Linked DNA regions of Danio rerio. The protein of the gene in region 1 purifies or fractionates together with the protein of each later gene. This does not show direct contact. Links are inferred from orthologs where the notes say so. Each region holds a gene or a part of one and is shown on either strand. Other genes may lie near its edges. The genes, in order: ube4b and ubl7a.

The links.
Region 2: the proteins of ube4b (region 1) and ubl7a purify together in Homo sapiens (affinity purification with mass spectrometry; 3 studies listed by BioGRID and IntAct, counting the BioPlex papers as one, with this or other methods). This does not show direct contact. The link is inferred for Danio rerio from reciprocal best matches to the Homo sapiens genes UBE4B and UBL7.

Annotation. Positions count from the first base shown.
Region 1 is NC_133198.1:32,461,922-32,468,297, forward strand, and holds part of ube4b (ubiquitin conjugation factor E4 B), read right to left. Parts: intron 4,489-6,376; coding exon 4,405-4,488; intron 4,206-4,404; coding exon 4,149-4,205; intron 4,063-4,148; coding exon 3,946-4,062; intron 3,836-3,945; coding exon 3,737-3,835; intron 3,100-3,736; coding exon 2,986-3,099; intron 2,035-2,985; coding exon 1,836-2,034; intron 1,741-1,835; coding exon 1,602-1,740; intron 1-1,601. UniProt on the Homo sapiens protein: Ubiquitin-protein ligase that probably functions as an E3 ligase in conjunction with specific E1 and E2 ligases. May also function as an E4 ligase mediating the assembly of polyubiquitin chains on substrates ubiquitinated by another E3 ubiquitin ligase.
Region 2 is NC_133200.1:34,178,783-34,185,701, reverse strand, and holds the start of ubl7a (ubiquitin-like protein 7a), read left to right. Parts: upstream 1-2,110; 5' UTR 2,111-2,254; coding exon 2,255-2,438; intron 2,439-6,919.

The DNA.
Region 1 (6,376 bases):
TATCATTGTTTCTTTTGGGTTGTGTAGTTTAATTTACAGACTTTCTACAAAGTATGTTGTATACTGTAAACCGCAGAGTATTTTTGTCATTTAAAAGTACAAAACATGTTTACATATTGATATTTTTCTGGTCCCATAACTCTGTGGCAACTTGTTCTGGAAAATATAAACAGATGTTTAAATATAATATTAACATATACTTTCTATGTGAATTTATGTTTTGAGTTTTTACTGCAAATGTTACATCCATAACGCTGGAATGGCTCATATATATATATAATATTATTATATATATTATTATTAATATTATTAATATAAATTTAAAACAGAACAGTGTTATATATTTTCCTGACTAATGCGCTTGCATTATCCCAAATTTTTAAAAGAATATTCAAATTCAGAGAAATAAGCAGTTTAACTAGTGATAGGACCTGTGTCCTCCTGTGTCGCCATACTTATGACATCACATGCCCTCAATTTCTGGTTAGATTTGTTTTATTGAAAACAATATTAAAGATGCTTCTTTCATATGTTGTGTTATATTAGACTGTACAGAGCAGCGTTAAAACGGAAGCTTAAAATGTATTTAGTATGATAAAACAGCGCTGCTTTTTCTCAATGTGACCATTAGAGAAAGAATCTGAAGCAGTCCACTATGGTATAATAAAAGCTCTGTTGCTTTTGTGCCATGTCACGCTCATCTCTTTTTAGCAATTACTTCAACGCTCTCATTTCACTTTTACAGCTTTCAGGCTTACTCTAACTTCATACTACCACGAGAATAAGGTGTCAAATATTTTTGCTCATCCATAAACATGTTTTTGCATGAGCACCATTGGATATAATGATTTCACACTCAGTCACTGCATCATCAAACTACGCCTTTGTTTGTCATAAATATGCGCCCTCTACAGGTTAAAATTATATATTGTGCCTTTAATTAAACTGCAGTGCTTCATGAAAGTGGAGTTCTTAAAGTTTCTTGTTGTGGTTTTCTTGCTGCAAATCTATGATTAGTGGAACGGTCTGTACAATCATGAATACAGTTTTTGTGTACAAATTCCACATTTCAAAAACGTATTCATTTGAACAAGTGGCTCATGTAAAATGCATGTAGTCAATTCACAACCTTGAAAATCACAAAGGGTCCATCTATAAAGGTATAGTTCACCCAAAATTAAAGTTTCCATGATTTACACATCCTCCATTTTCTAGCAACTATTAAGATTCAATTTCCCGAAGGACAAAATGAATGACTGCTCCATACTCGACCTGCAACTGTTATATGCTAACGTTAATATTTACAGTTTTAAACAGTTGAATAAAATATACTATGATGATGTCAACTGGAGGACTTGCAATAATGTGCACTTTGTGAAGCTGCTTTAAAACATTAATTATTGTAAAAAAAAGCACTATAAAAATGAACTTGAATTGAATAAAAGCATGGAGATCTTGCAAAGGGAGAACATTTGTACTGCAAAGACTGATATTTTACTGCCATTTGGTACAATGACAACACTTTAATTGATTATAACCATATATGGTTAAGTTAGCAAATGTTGTTTGGTTGTTTTTATGAGTGAATCTGTGTGAAGCACCTGTTCAGATCCCTGATGGCCCTCAGTCTCCTTATGTAGCGCCGACAGCATGGGAGGATGGACAGATGATGTGCGTGAAGCGTTAAGAAAAAGCACTCCGTTGGGAACTTGGGCTCTGAAAACTTGGTTGGGTCTTCATCTGTGGGAAAATTAGAGGAACAATAAACCGGCTGCCTGAAGTCAAACTAAGCATCTAAAGTCATTTATTTGTTCCAGAACAGAGCCCACACTCACGCAGCTCAGTGAGCCAGCTCTTTAGTTCCTCCATAGTGGCTTTGAGCCGCGTCTCTTCCGGGCTGACATTCAGCCGACATTTGGGGTGGAAGATATAGAGAGGATCCACTGTTTCCAGCTTGATCTTCATACTGAGCTGCTGCAGGACCCACAGGAAGTTCATCATGAAGCCGTCTGTGGACACCAACTTATCATCGGTCTAAAAAAAGAAAAGAGAAATAGAATTGCATCATGTGCTCTCATTAAATCGCAAGACCTAGATCCATTAAGAGATCTAATCTATTGTTTGTTTGTTTTTTAATTGAATTTTCTGCATATTACATGATATCAGCTAATTACCACATTAACTTTAAAATAAACACTTCCCTACCCACAACCCACTGCTTCCTATAAGGGAAAAATAGTAAATCAATCATTATATAAGCAAATAAATAATTATGATAAAAAAAAACAGTAAGATTATTTTATGAAATTAAATTAATAATGAAAAAAGCATAAATAAAATATATTTATAATTACAGTTGAAGTTAAAATTATTAAACCCCCTTTGATTTTTATCCTTTTTTAAATATTTCTCAAATGATGTTTAACAGAGCAAGGAATTTTTCACAGTATGTCTGATAATATTTTTTCTGCTGGGGAAAGTCTTATTTGTTTTATTTCGGCTAGAATAAAAGCTGTTTTTAATTTTTTAAACACCATTTTAAGGTAAAAATTAATAGCCCCTTTGAGCCATTTTTTTCGATAGGCAATTTATTGTATAATGATGGTTTGTTTTGTAAACTAATTACCCTAACCTGCCTAGTTACCCTAATTAACCTAGTTAAGCCATTTAGTTAATGTCACTTTAAGCTGTATAGAGGTGTCTTGAAAAATATCTAGTCAAATATTATTTACTGCCATCATGGAAAAGATAAAATAAACCAGTTATTAGAACTGTGTTATTAAAACTATTATGTTTAGAAATGTGTTGAAAAATTTTTTTCTCCGTTGATTTTTTTCCAACTTATTACAAGCAAACAATTATTTTGGTCACGTATCAAAAGAGGGTAGCGATACCCGTTTTTTTTTCCACATTCAAGCACAGACGGTCATCAAGAATACCTTGGTAAGATGGCATTTAGAAAGAACCCCACTGGAACAGATTTACCTGCATCTGAGCCTTCTTCACATTACGATTCACAAGAGCTGCCATGTAGCTCAGAGCTGCTTCCCTTGTCTCTCCATTCAGCAAGATGTTGTGCAGGATTTTAAACAGATCTCCCTGGAAAAACACCACCAGCACAGCACAAATACAATTACCAAATGTTTTTTGTTTTACAAATATGCTGATATTTAATTTGGATTTTAACATATAGGAAATATATTGAATTAGAAGTTTAAATTTAATGGCCAGTTGTTCCAAACCTATGAGACTTTCGTTTATCATTGGAACACAAATTAGGATATTCTGGTTCAAATCTGAGAGTGAAAGTCTCACAGGATTAGGAAGAGAGTAAGTGATTAGTAATAATTTTATTTTTTAACAGTAAAAAAAAAGTATTTTTGTAAAGGTTCTTGAAACAATAATTATTGTGAAAAGCGCTTCAATTAAATTAAAAAAATAAACTTGAATTTAATTTTTGGCTAAACTAACTCTTATTTTAGAAAAAGACTCACTATCTGATTTAGTATATTAAAAATGTCCATTTTTTCTTTCTTTAAAAGTAAAAATATTGCAATGCATTTATACTACAACAAAGATTGACTAAAACAACACAAAGGTCTGGTTGAAAACCTAAATCACCAAAACCCAAAAGCGGACAAAGAGTCATGCACCCCTGCTCTATAAAAAGAATACACTTCTAATATTGGAGCAGCTCATTAATAATCTAGGAGGAGTATGTGATATGAAGGCTCACCCTGGCAGACTCCAGATAGTGCTGCAGAGACTGGCTGACCACACGCGTGTTCTCCATAGTGATGGCAGGGCCTGAGAAGTACTTGTCTCCCACTTTAGTCTACAGAACATCAGACAGACAGCTAAATAAGGTACTTTCCTCCCATCATCCTTCATCGGAGCTGTGGCTTTGCATCAAGTCGTATTTGTTTAAGGAGAAAAACGACTTACGTCATCTTCAGCGAACACAGAAAGGCTGAAGAACGCTCCGAGGAAGGAGAGTCTTTGAATTTCTCTTCCTGTCCCGGGACTGAGAGGGTCAGGACACCACAACGGCAGAGAGGTGATCTAAAAATACACGTAGACAGGCAATATTACCAGTGAACCACATAACCTGACTGACTTCAGTTCTTAATCTATGGAAAAAAACCTACCAAATTGCATACAGGGTGAGTCTTCCCGAACTTGATTTCACAGAGCTCGGCCAAAGCCTGGAAAATAACATCATATTGTTCATGGACATTAAATAAGAATCTGAGGTCTGTGACAAATTTAGAGTAGATTTTTTTAGGGTATAAAATGTGCTAAATATCAGATAAATCTAACTGTAGTGGCATATACATTAAGAGTTTTTGTGGTGATAATGTTGTCTATATTAGGCCTTTAAAAGAACAACAAGCAGATTCTTACCATCAGAGGGAACTTGAAGTTGTCACTGTCAAAAGAACATTCTTTTACAGCTAAAGCAAGCCCTTGAAGAATGGGAACGAAGATCTGAAAGAATAACAATGCTGACCATTATCAGGATGAAACTGCATTTATCTAAAGTAAACAAGCTTCTTGTCTATTCTTCTAATCTTCAATAGTTACAGATCATTTTAAATGGCATACACTACCACCCAACCAGTGAGGATTTTTAATACAAAAGAGGTTGTTTACACTCATGAAGGATACATTTATACAAGAATATTTAAATATACAATAATTAGTGAAATATTTTTGCAATGATGCTTCTCTATTTAAATATATTTACAATTTTAATTTATTCTAGTGTTGAAACAGCCATTACCGCATTGTTTAGTGTCATATGATCTTTCAGAAATCATTCTAATATTCTAGTTTCATATTCAAGAAACATTTCTTTCTATTTTAAAGTTACGCTGCTTAGTATTTGGTGGAAACCGTAACAGTTTATTTTAGGGGTTTTGGTAAATGTGCATTTCTAAACAATAGCGTTTTATTTGAAATAGAAATATTGATTATAATTGGGGGCGGTGCGATGGAGCAGTGGGTAGCGATGTTGCCTCACGGCAAGAAGGTCGCATGTTCGGGCCTCGGATGGGTCAGTTGGCATTTCTATGTGGAGTTTGCATGTTCTCCCCGTGTTTGCGTGGGTTTCTTCCAGGTGCTTTGGTTTCCAACACAAGTCTAAAGACATGTGCTGTGGGTAAATTAGGTAAGCTTAATTGTCCCTAGTGTGTGTGAATTAGTGTATGGGTGTTTCCCAGTAATGGGTTGCAGCTGGAAGGGCATGCACTGGGTAAAACATATGCGGGGTAAATTGGCGATTCATTCCACTGTGGCGACTTCTGATTAATAAATGGACTAAGGCGAAAATGAATGAATGAATGATTAACTGGAAAGCTGCTTGTGATGCACAAGCACAAAATAGTCAGAACAATGAAATATAAAACAGACTGCGTAATAAACTTTCAAAGATTAAGCCTGTAAGAATTGTTTTACTACAAATATTTTTGATGTCTTTGACAATTCAAAACATGAGCTGAAGACAGGGCCAATGGACTCCACAACCCACCAGGGGGGAATGCGTGAAAAAACAGTTCCTGCTGCATTTGCATCTGAGTATGCTGAAAACTCAGCTTCATCCCCCCAACTCACGCATATGGTCATTTCAATGTTTGAATGTTCTAGAATTAACCAAACTGACTTTAACCATCATGTTTGATATCATTTGAAATGTCTTAGTGCGATTGGTACAATGGTCTCATTCTCTCAGAAATAGATATAATCAACACAATAAATATATAACTTCAGGCATCTTTTGAACCACTGTAAAGGGTGTGACTTTTTACACACACCCCCTTCCTTGAGGGAATTCTTGGATTATTTAAGGCAAGGTTTGAGAAAAACTCAGCGCGATTCTGCCTACCCAGATCAGCCCATAACATGGAGCCTAGGCTAGGCTCCATGTTATGTAAAATTTACACGTTATGTAAAAGGTCAGGTATGCATCTTTTCATCTTGGATTTATCTTTGATAATTTGATGTTTTGTATTGATCATTTATGAATTGACTGATTGAATTGGCATAATACATTTACCTGACTAATAAATTGTAATGTTTGACCATATTTTGCTCACTCTGTAATTATTAATTCAAGTAGATTACGCTGTATCCTTGTTTCCGCACGTCTTGCGTCAGGTCAGTAGACGGACTAAAATCCAATTGAGATGGAGCATTGGGCACACTAATTGTGTTTTAGGGATCCGGCTGACTCTTGATATTGATTCTTGTGTACTTGGGTGGAAAGGGCGATAACTTCCGTCTAGGTCAACAAGGTGTTGCACGACTAACCTAGATTGGGTACCCGACCTTTGTTTGAAGGTAATATTATTCTAAATTAAGTTCATATGGGAAACCA
Region 2 (6,919 bases), on another chromosome or scaffold:
AGTATGACGCCGTTCCTGTACTCGCTTATCAGCTGACCACTTACCTCCGTATGGACAATTTTTCTGCTGTTACCAGTTTGTCTGGTAGTTCCTATGTCGTCGGATTTGACACACAGAGCGAAGTTGACTGCGACAATGGGGTTTGAATCTGCCGAAGAACAGTTCCAGAAAGCTGGCAAGACAAAAACAAAAGATAAAAAAATAAAATAAACAAGTAAATAACAGGGTGAAAATGTGGTAAAATCTGAAAAAGTGGTAAAAATCAGGTGAGGGCTTTTCTTTTTCTGGATTGCTTTTCTAAATACTGCAGTTGGGTTTAAAGAAGGAGGAGGGTCGGTCCGTCGGTCAATCAGTGCACGAATGGCACTCGCGAGAGAAAATTGAGATCTCAAAAAGCGTACACAACTGCCTCTGGTGGGTTTGCAAAAACAAAAACTGCCAAAAAATAGTTGAAAACATCTCTCCATTAAACAGCACATGGGAAATATTGGAAAAAATAATCATTTAATTTATGCTAACAGCTAGTAAAGTTCAGGTTTACTTCTTAAACTATTATTATTAACAGGCAACAACAAAGTGAGAAAAAATTGAAGATGTGAAAACATTTAAATACTTAATCATTTTTAAATAATTCCTATCTTTATTTAATGGTTCTTAATAAATAAGGTTGTGTGTAGTTTTAAGTAGCAGATTACAACTTACATTACATTACATTACATTTTTAAGTAATCAAACATTTCCATTAATTTACTCAGTTTACTGAATCAAGTAGCTTTGACAAAAGATACAACATTTGGATTGCTAGCATATATCTAGATGTTATTTTAGGCTTACCTATGCTAATGGGCTAAAACAGATGGAAAACAAAATGTCTTCTTTTTTTTCTTTTTCTTTTTTTTGTCAGTGAAATTAGACAGCAATGTTTAACTGTCAAGAGTAGCAATCCTATGGGTAATTTGTGACTACCAACAATAATCTTACCTTGTATAGCAATCGTTACTTTTTGTAAAGTTTGCATTCTGAAATTGACATGATATATTCACTGTAGGCCGTCGAGGCCAATATTTCGCTATTGAAAAAAAGCTTTTACTTTGAATTAAAAATGATTGTGAATAAGTTTGTAAGTATCATATGTATCTGTAGCGACATTAATGTTTTTAGATTAGGACATTATTCTTAAAAACCAAACAAATCAACCCAAACACTTTAAACACTTGTAGCCATAACGTTAGATATTCTTCTTGAAGTTACATAATTCAACCTGGCTCTGTGTATTAAAACTGTGCTAATACAAACGGTTATAAATGTGCTTTCTATTAAAAAAACTAGAGGGTTAAACTTTACAAAGTCCTTTTGGATAATCACTTACCAAGTGATAGTCACGGAGCAACTTCCTTTGAGATGAGTAGAAATGCTAATTGCTATTGCAAATGTTTGTCTCTGTATTCCCTCAAAGACTGTAACACACTGTGGTATTATGTTAAGCAAGAAAACAAAAATAAAATTGCTAAAAAAAAAACGCTTCAAAGAAAATAGTATTTATTTATTTGCATAGATCCGCCATGATCCGTGGGTAATTTCAGGTTTTGCTCATGAGTTGGGTAAAACAATGCTTATTAATAATTTAGATTAACAACTATATATATATATATATATATATATATATATATATATATATATATATATATATATATATATATATATATATATATATATATATATATATATATATATATATATTTTTTTTTTTATTTATTTATTTATTTTTTTTTTTTAAACATTTGGTCTATTTGTTGCGTTTAGGACACTTACATATAACCCTAATTTTTTTTCACAAAAAACAAAAACACCTATTATCCTGGCCAAATGTAAACGTATTAAGAAATAAAATGTTCTAAATGGCAATATTTTATTTTAATGAAATTTGAAAGAAATATTCTCATATCTTTGTAATAAAACATATAAATATATTTTATTCATACACTGTAAAAGATTGTATTCAAACCTACACATTATTTGTGTTTTCTCTGTTCATAATTGAGCACTACAGCCTGCGAACACATCAGGAAAACTACAACTCCCACAAACTCGACAGTTCTTCGGTGACGCCATGACGCACGGATGAGAACAGTCGCGTGATTCTGTTTATTTTAATCCATTGTGTTTTCAAGACCGAAACACATTTTAATCCTTTCTTTTGCCTTGCCAAAAGAAGCACGCGCTCCCCGTGCAGCTGCAAACCGCGCGTCAGATGATGGCGTTCTCGGAGTGGCGTCTGTCTTTAAAGCTGGTGGATCAACCTTCACTACCCAAGTCATTACTGCAGTTTCCAGAAGCTGAGCCTGGAGATGTTCCTCCCGGAGAGTATCGGGTCTCCACTCTCAAACAGCTGGTCTCTGCACAGATCCCTGATGCCATACCAGATCCCGAGCTTATAGGTAACATCACAGTAATATTAGATGACATTATTGCAGGGCTTATGGATCATTCATAATGTCTGGTGACACTACGTTATATTAAATAACTGTTCAGTTTCGCCTAATTACACTTTTATCTTAAAGAAGCATACATAATTCCGTTTACTGTTTGTGACGAATATTAATTTCATTGATAAAAGTCATCATTTATTGATTTTAAACAGCATCTTCTCATTCACTGGTGAATGTGAAAAATAGTATCAGGTTATTTGATCTATTTATTTTGAACAAAAAATCTAACAATTCTTTAAACAAAATACATTTCATTATTCATTCATGCATTTTCCTTGGCCTTAGTCACTTTTTTATTCATGGGTGGCCACAGCGGAATGAACCGCCAACTTATCCAGCTTATGTTTTACACAGCAGATGCCCTTTCAGTTGCAACCCAGTACTGGGAAACACATTTCATCATGATCAACAAAATATTTACTTATCTATATTGTTGTGTATAGATGCTATGCTAACCGGGGTTGTTCCAAATGCAGATTTATTAGGAGAATGGTCATCTTGTGAGCAGGGCCGGCGCATCCATAGAGGCGACCTAGGCGGCCGCCTAGGGCAGCAGAATAGAGGGCGGCGTCCCCGAAACTACCCTCGCCACCAGCACCCTCAGTTATATCCGCGTCTAGGGCTGCAGAATAGAGAGCGGCATCCCCAAAACTACCCTCGCCACCTGCGCCCTCAGTTATATCCGTGTCTAGGGCGGCAGAATAGAGAGAGCGGCGTCTGGACACTACCCGCACCACCCGCGCCCTCAGTTATATCCGCATCTAGGGCTGCAGAATAGAGAGCGGCATCCCCAAAACTACCCTCGCCACCCGCGCCCTCAGTTATATCCGCATCTAGGGCTGCAGAATAGAGAGCGGCATCCCCAAAACTACCCTCGCCACCCGCGCCCTCAGTTATATCCGTGTCTAGGGCGGCAGAATAGAGAGAGCGGCGTCTGGACACTACCCGCACCACCCGCGCCCTCAGTTATATCCGTGTCTAGGGCGGCAGAATAGAGAGAGCGGCGTCTGGACACTACCCGCACCACCCGCGCCCTCAGTTATATCCGCATCTAGGGCTGCAGAATAGAGAGCGGCATCCCCAAAACTACCCTCGCCACCCGCGCCCTCAGTTATATCCGCATCTAGGGCTGCAGAATAGAGAGCGGCATCCCCAAAACTACCCTCGCCACCCGCGCCCTCAGTTATATCCGTGTCTAGGGCGGCAGAATAGAGAGAGCGGCGTCTGGACACTACCCGCACCACCCGCGCCCTCAGTTATATCCGCATCTAGGGCTGCAGAATAGAGAGAGCGGCGTCTGGACACTACCCGCACCACCCGCGCCCTCAGTTATATCTGCATCTAGGGCTGCAGAATAGAGAGCGGCATCCCCAAAACTACCCTCGCCACCTGCGCCCTCAGTTATATCCGTGTCTAGGGCGGCAGAATAGAGAGAGCGGCGTCTGGACACTACCCGCACCACTCACGGCCTCAGTTATATCCACGTCTAGTGTGGCAGAATAGAAAGAGCGGCGTCCCCGACACTACCCTCAGCACCCGTGCCCTTTGTTATATCTGCGTCTAGGGCGGCAGAATAGAGAGGGCACCCACTCTTCCACCCCTGTTTATGGTTGAGGGCGGCATGACCGTCCTTTGCCTAGAGCGGCACTTCAGCTTGCTCCGGCCCTGCTTGTGAGCTGGCTGTGTGGTGGTGGAATGAGCAGCAAGCCCCGTTGCCAGCGGGTCTTGCTGTCCTTTGAGGGGTCTCCTCCACCTTGCCAACAGTGAAGGGGGGCCCACTTTATTGTAATGCCAGTTCAATGTATATTTCTAATGTCCAGTGGGGCTGGTGTAATGGCATGATTGAATAAAGGGGCTCAGAAAGTCCTCCACGAAAGAAAATCATCAGGCATAATTCATCCAAAGATGTTAAATGGGCTACCTGGATGGAGTCCTCCACATCTTCCTCTATAGACCGGGCCTCCTGACGCAGACACATGATCTTAAAACCCTCTGGATCCATGTTTTGGCTGAGTATTGTTTAGCTGTTGCTGTTCATACATAAGCGTTTCTCTTAGTTTCCTGTGTATTTGACCTTAGACTGTTTATCGTGTTTTGACCCTTTGCTGCCTGCCCTGAACCTTTTTGCCTGTTTTTGGATCTGCAGTGTCTCCTACACTGTTTATGCTGGTATTTGACCCCTGCCTGATTGACCATAACTGGTAATAAAGCTCCATTTGGAACTACCCCGGTCTGCACAGCATCCTTATGCAACACATATACACTTACAATAACAAAAGTGTTTAGCCGTTTCGAAATGCAAGCTAATGCATTTACTGTATCTCTTTTTATGAATAATGAAGAAAAATGCTTTGATATTTCATATCTAAGATTTCGGAAGGTAAACTATGTTTAAGGTCACATTTGAACATAAAGTTTCATTAGTTAATATAACTTTGTTTATTTACTAATAATGAACAAAACAGTCAGAATTATTAGCCCCTTCTGAATTATTAGCCCTTCTGTTTATTTTTTCCCCAATTTATATTTAACAAAGAAGATTTTTCAACACATTTCTAAACATAATAGTTTTAATAACTCATCTCTAAAAATTGATTTATTTTATCTTTGCCATGATGACAGCAAATAATATTTGACTAGATATTCTTCAAGACATTTCTGTACAGCTTAAAGTGACATTTAAAAGTTTAATTAGGTTAACTAGGCGGGTTATGGTAATTAGCCAAGTTATTGTATAATGATGTTTTTTTTAATATTTTATATTAATTTATATATATATATATATATATATATATATATATATATATATATATATATATATATATATATATATATATATATATATATATATATGAGCAATTCCGTGCAAATGTCAACCTTGCCATGAAAAAAAATTAAGTTTTTACCAAAATACAGAAACCATTTCTGGGTTGTTTGTGTAGGCAAGTATTTTACAGTACTTTAAAAATACTCAAAAAGCATCTGTTAATGTTTTCAAACTATTACTATTTGATTTACCAAAGTCACACAAATGGTAATTTCACATGCGTCACATCCATAACAGAGAGATGTCACATCCATAACAACACTTTTTCATCAGAAATGTGAAAATATTAAATAAAATAAAATCAATAATTTTTGTTTTATAGAGAGCCGACTCAAATCCTTTTGATTAGCATTATTTCTTTTGGGTTGTGCAGTTTAATTCACATAATTTCTACAAAGTGTGTTGTATACTGTAAACTCGCAGACTTTTTTTGTCACATCCATAACGCATGCTTATTTTCCACATTTAAAGTACAAAACACGTTTACAGATTGATATTTTTCTGCTCCCATAACTCTGTGGCTAGTTGCTCTAGAAAATATAATCAAATTTGTCAATATAATGTTAACATATACTTTCTCTGTCAATCTATGTGTTGAGTTTTTACTGCAAATGTCACATCCATAACGCTGGAATTGCTCATATATATATATATATATATATATATATATATATATATATATATATATATATATATATATATATATATATATATATTTATATTATTTTATATATATTTTTTAAAAATAAAATTTTAACAGTACGAAGAAATATACATGCCAGGGGGTAAGCATAAATCAAATACAAATATACATATGTAATAATCAAATAAATACAATGTAGAGTTCACAAAGTTTTAAAGTGCATAGGGCTTTCTTATTTAGAGTCTCTGATACTACTAATATATAAGCATAATTCAGTCATCAACACCTTAAAGTTGGGTTTCTTATTGGTAAATTTACATTTATGAATGTAAAATTTTGTTAGCAAAATAATTTAATTAATTAATTAAAAACAATTTTCCTCTTGAGTAGGGTACTTTGTAATTTGTTATTATTAAATTTTTGCACCTCTGTCTATAAGTTGACTGAGTATGCGCAATGCCAAAATACGTGTAATGCAGTCTCCTCAAATTCATTACAAAAATACAATTTATATCAATCCCACTTTTACATTTTTGTAAATAATGTTTTGCTGGATAAAATCTGTGGAGAAGTTTATACGATATTTCTTTCATTTTATTTCTAACATTGTAATTCTGTGGTAACAGCCACACTTTTCCCCAGCAAATCAGTTGATCCTTTACTAAAGACATCCAATAAGATTGAATATAAGGTAAAGTAATAATTTCTCTTTGGAAAAGGGTACGGATAGCCTTATTATTACTCTTGGTATATATATTAAAACAGGTTTTGCCCACATATGATTTAGTGAAAACAAAAGACGATGCATCAAAAGCATGGACTTGATTAATACCTCTAAATAACATATGGACCCCTGGAGGAATTGAATTAATAACAGTTGAAAACTCTTGTTGGGTAATTCAGATTTTGTAATAAGAGAGGAATTCATTGTAAGAAAAGAGTATACCTTCTTTATTATAT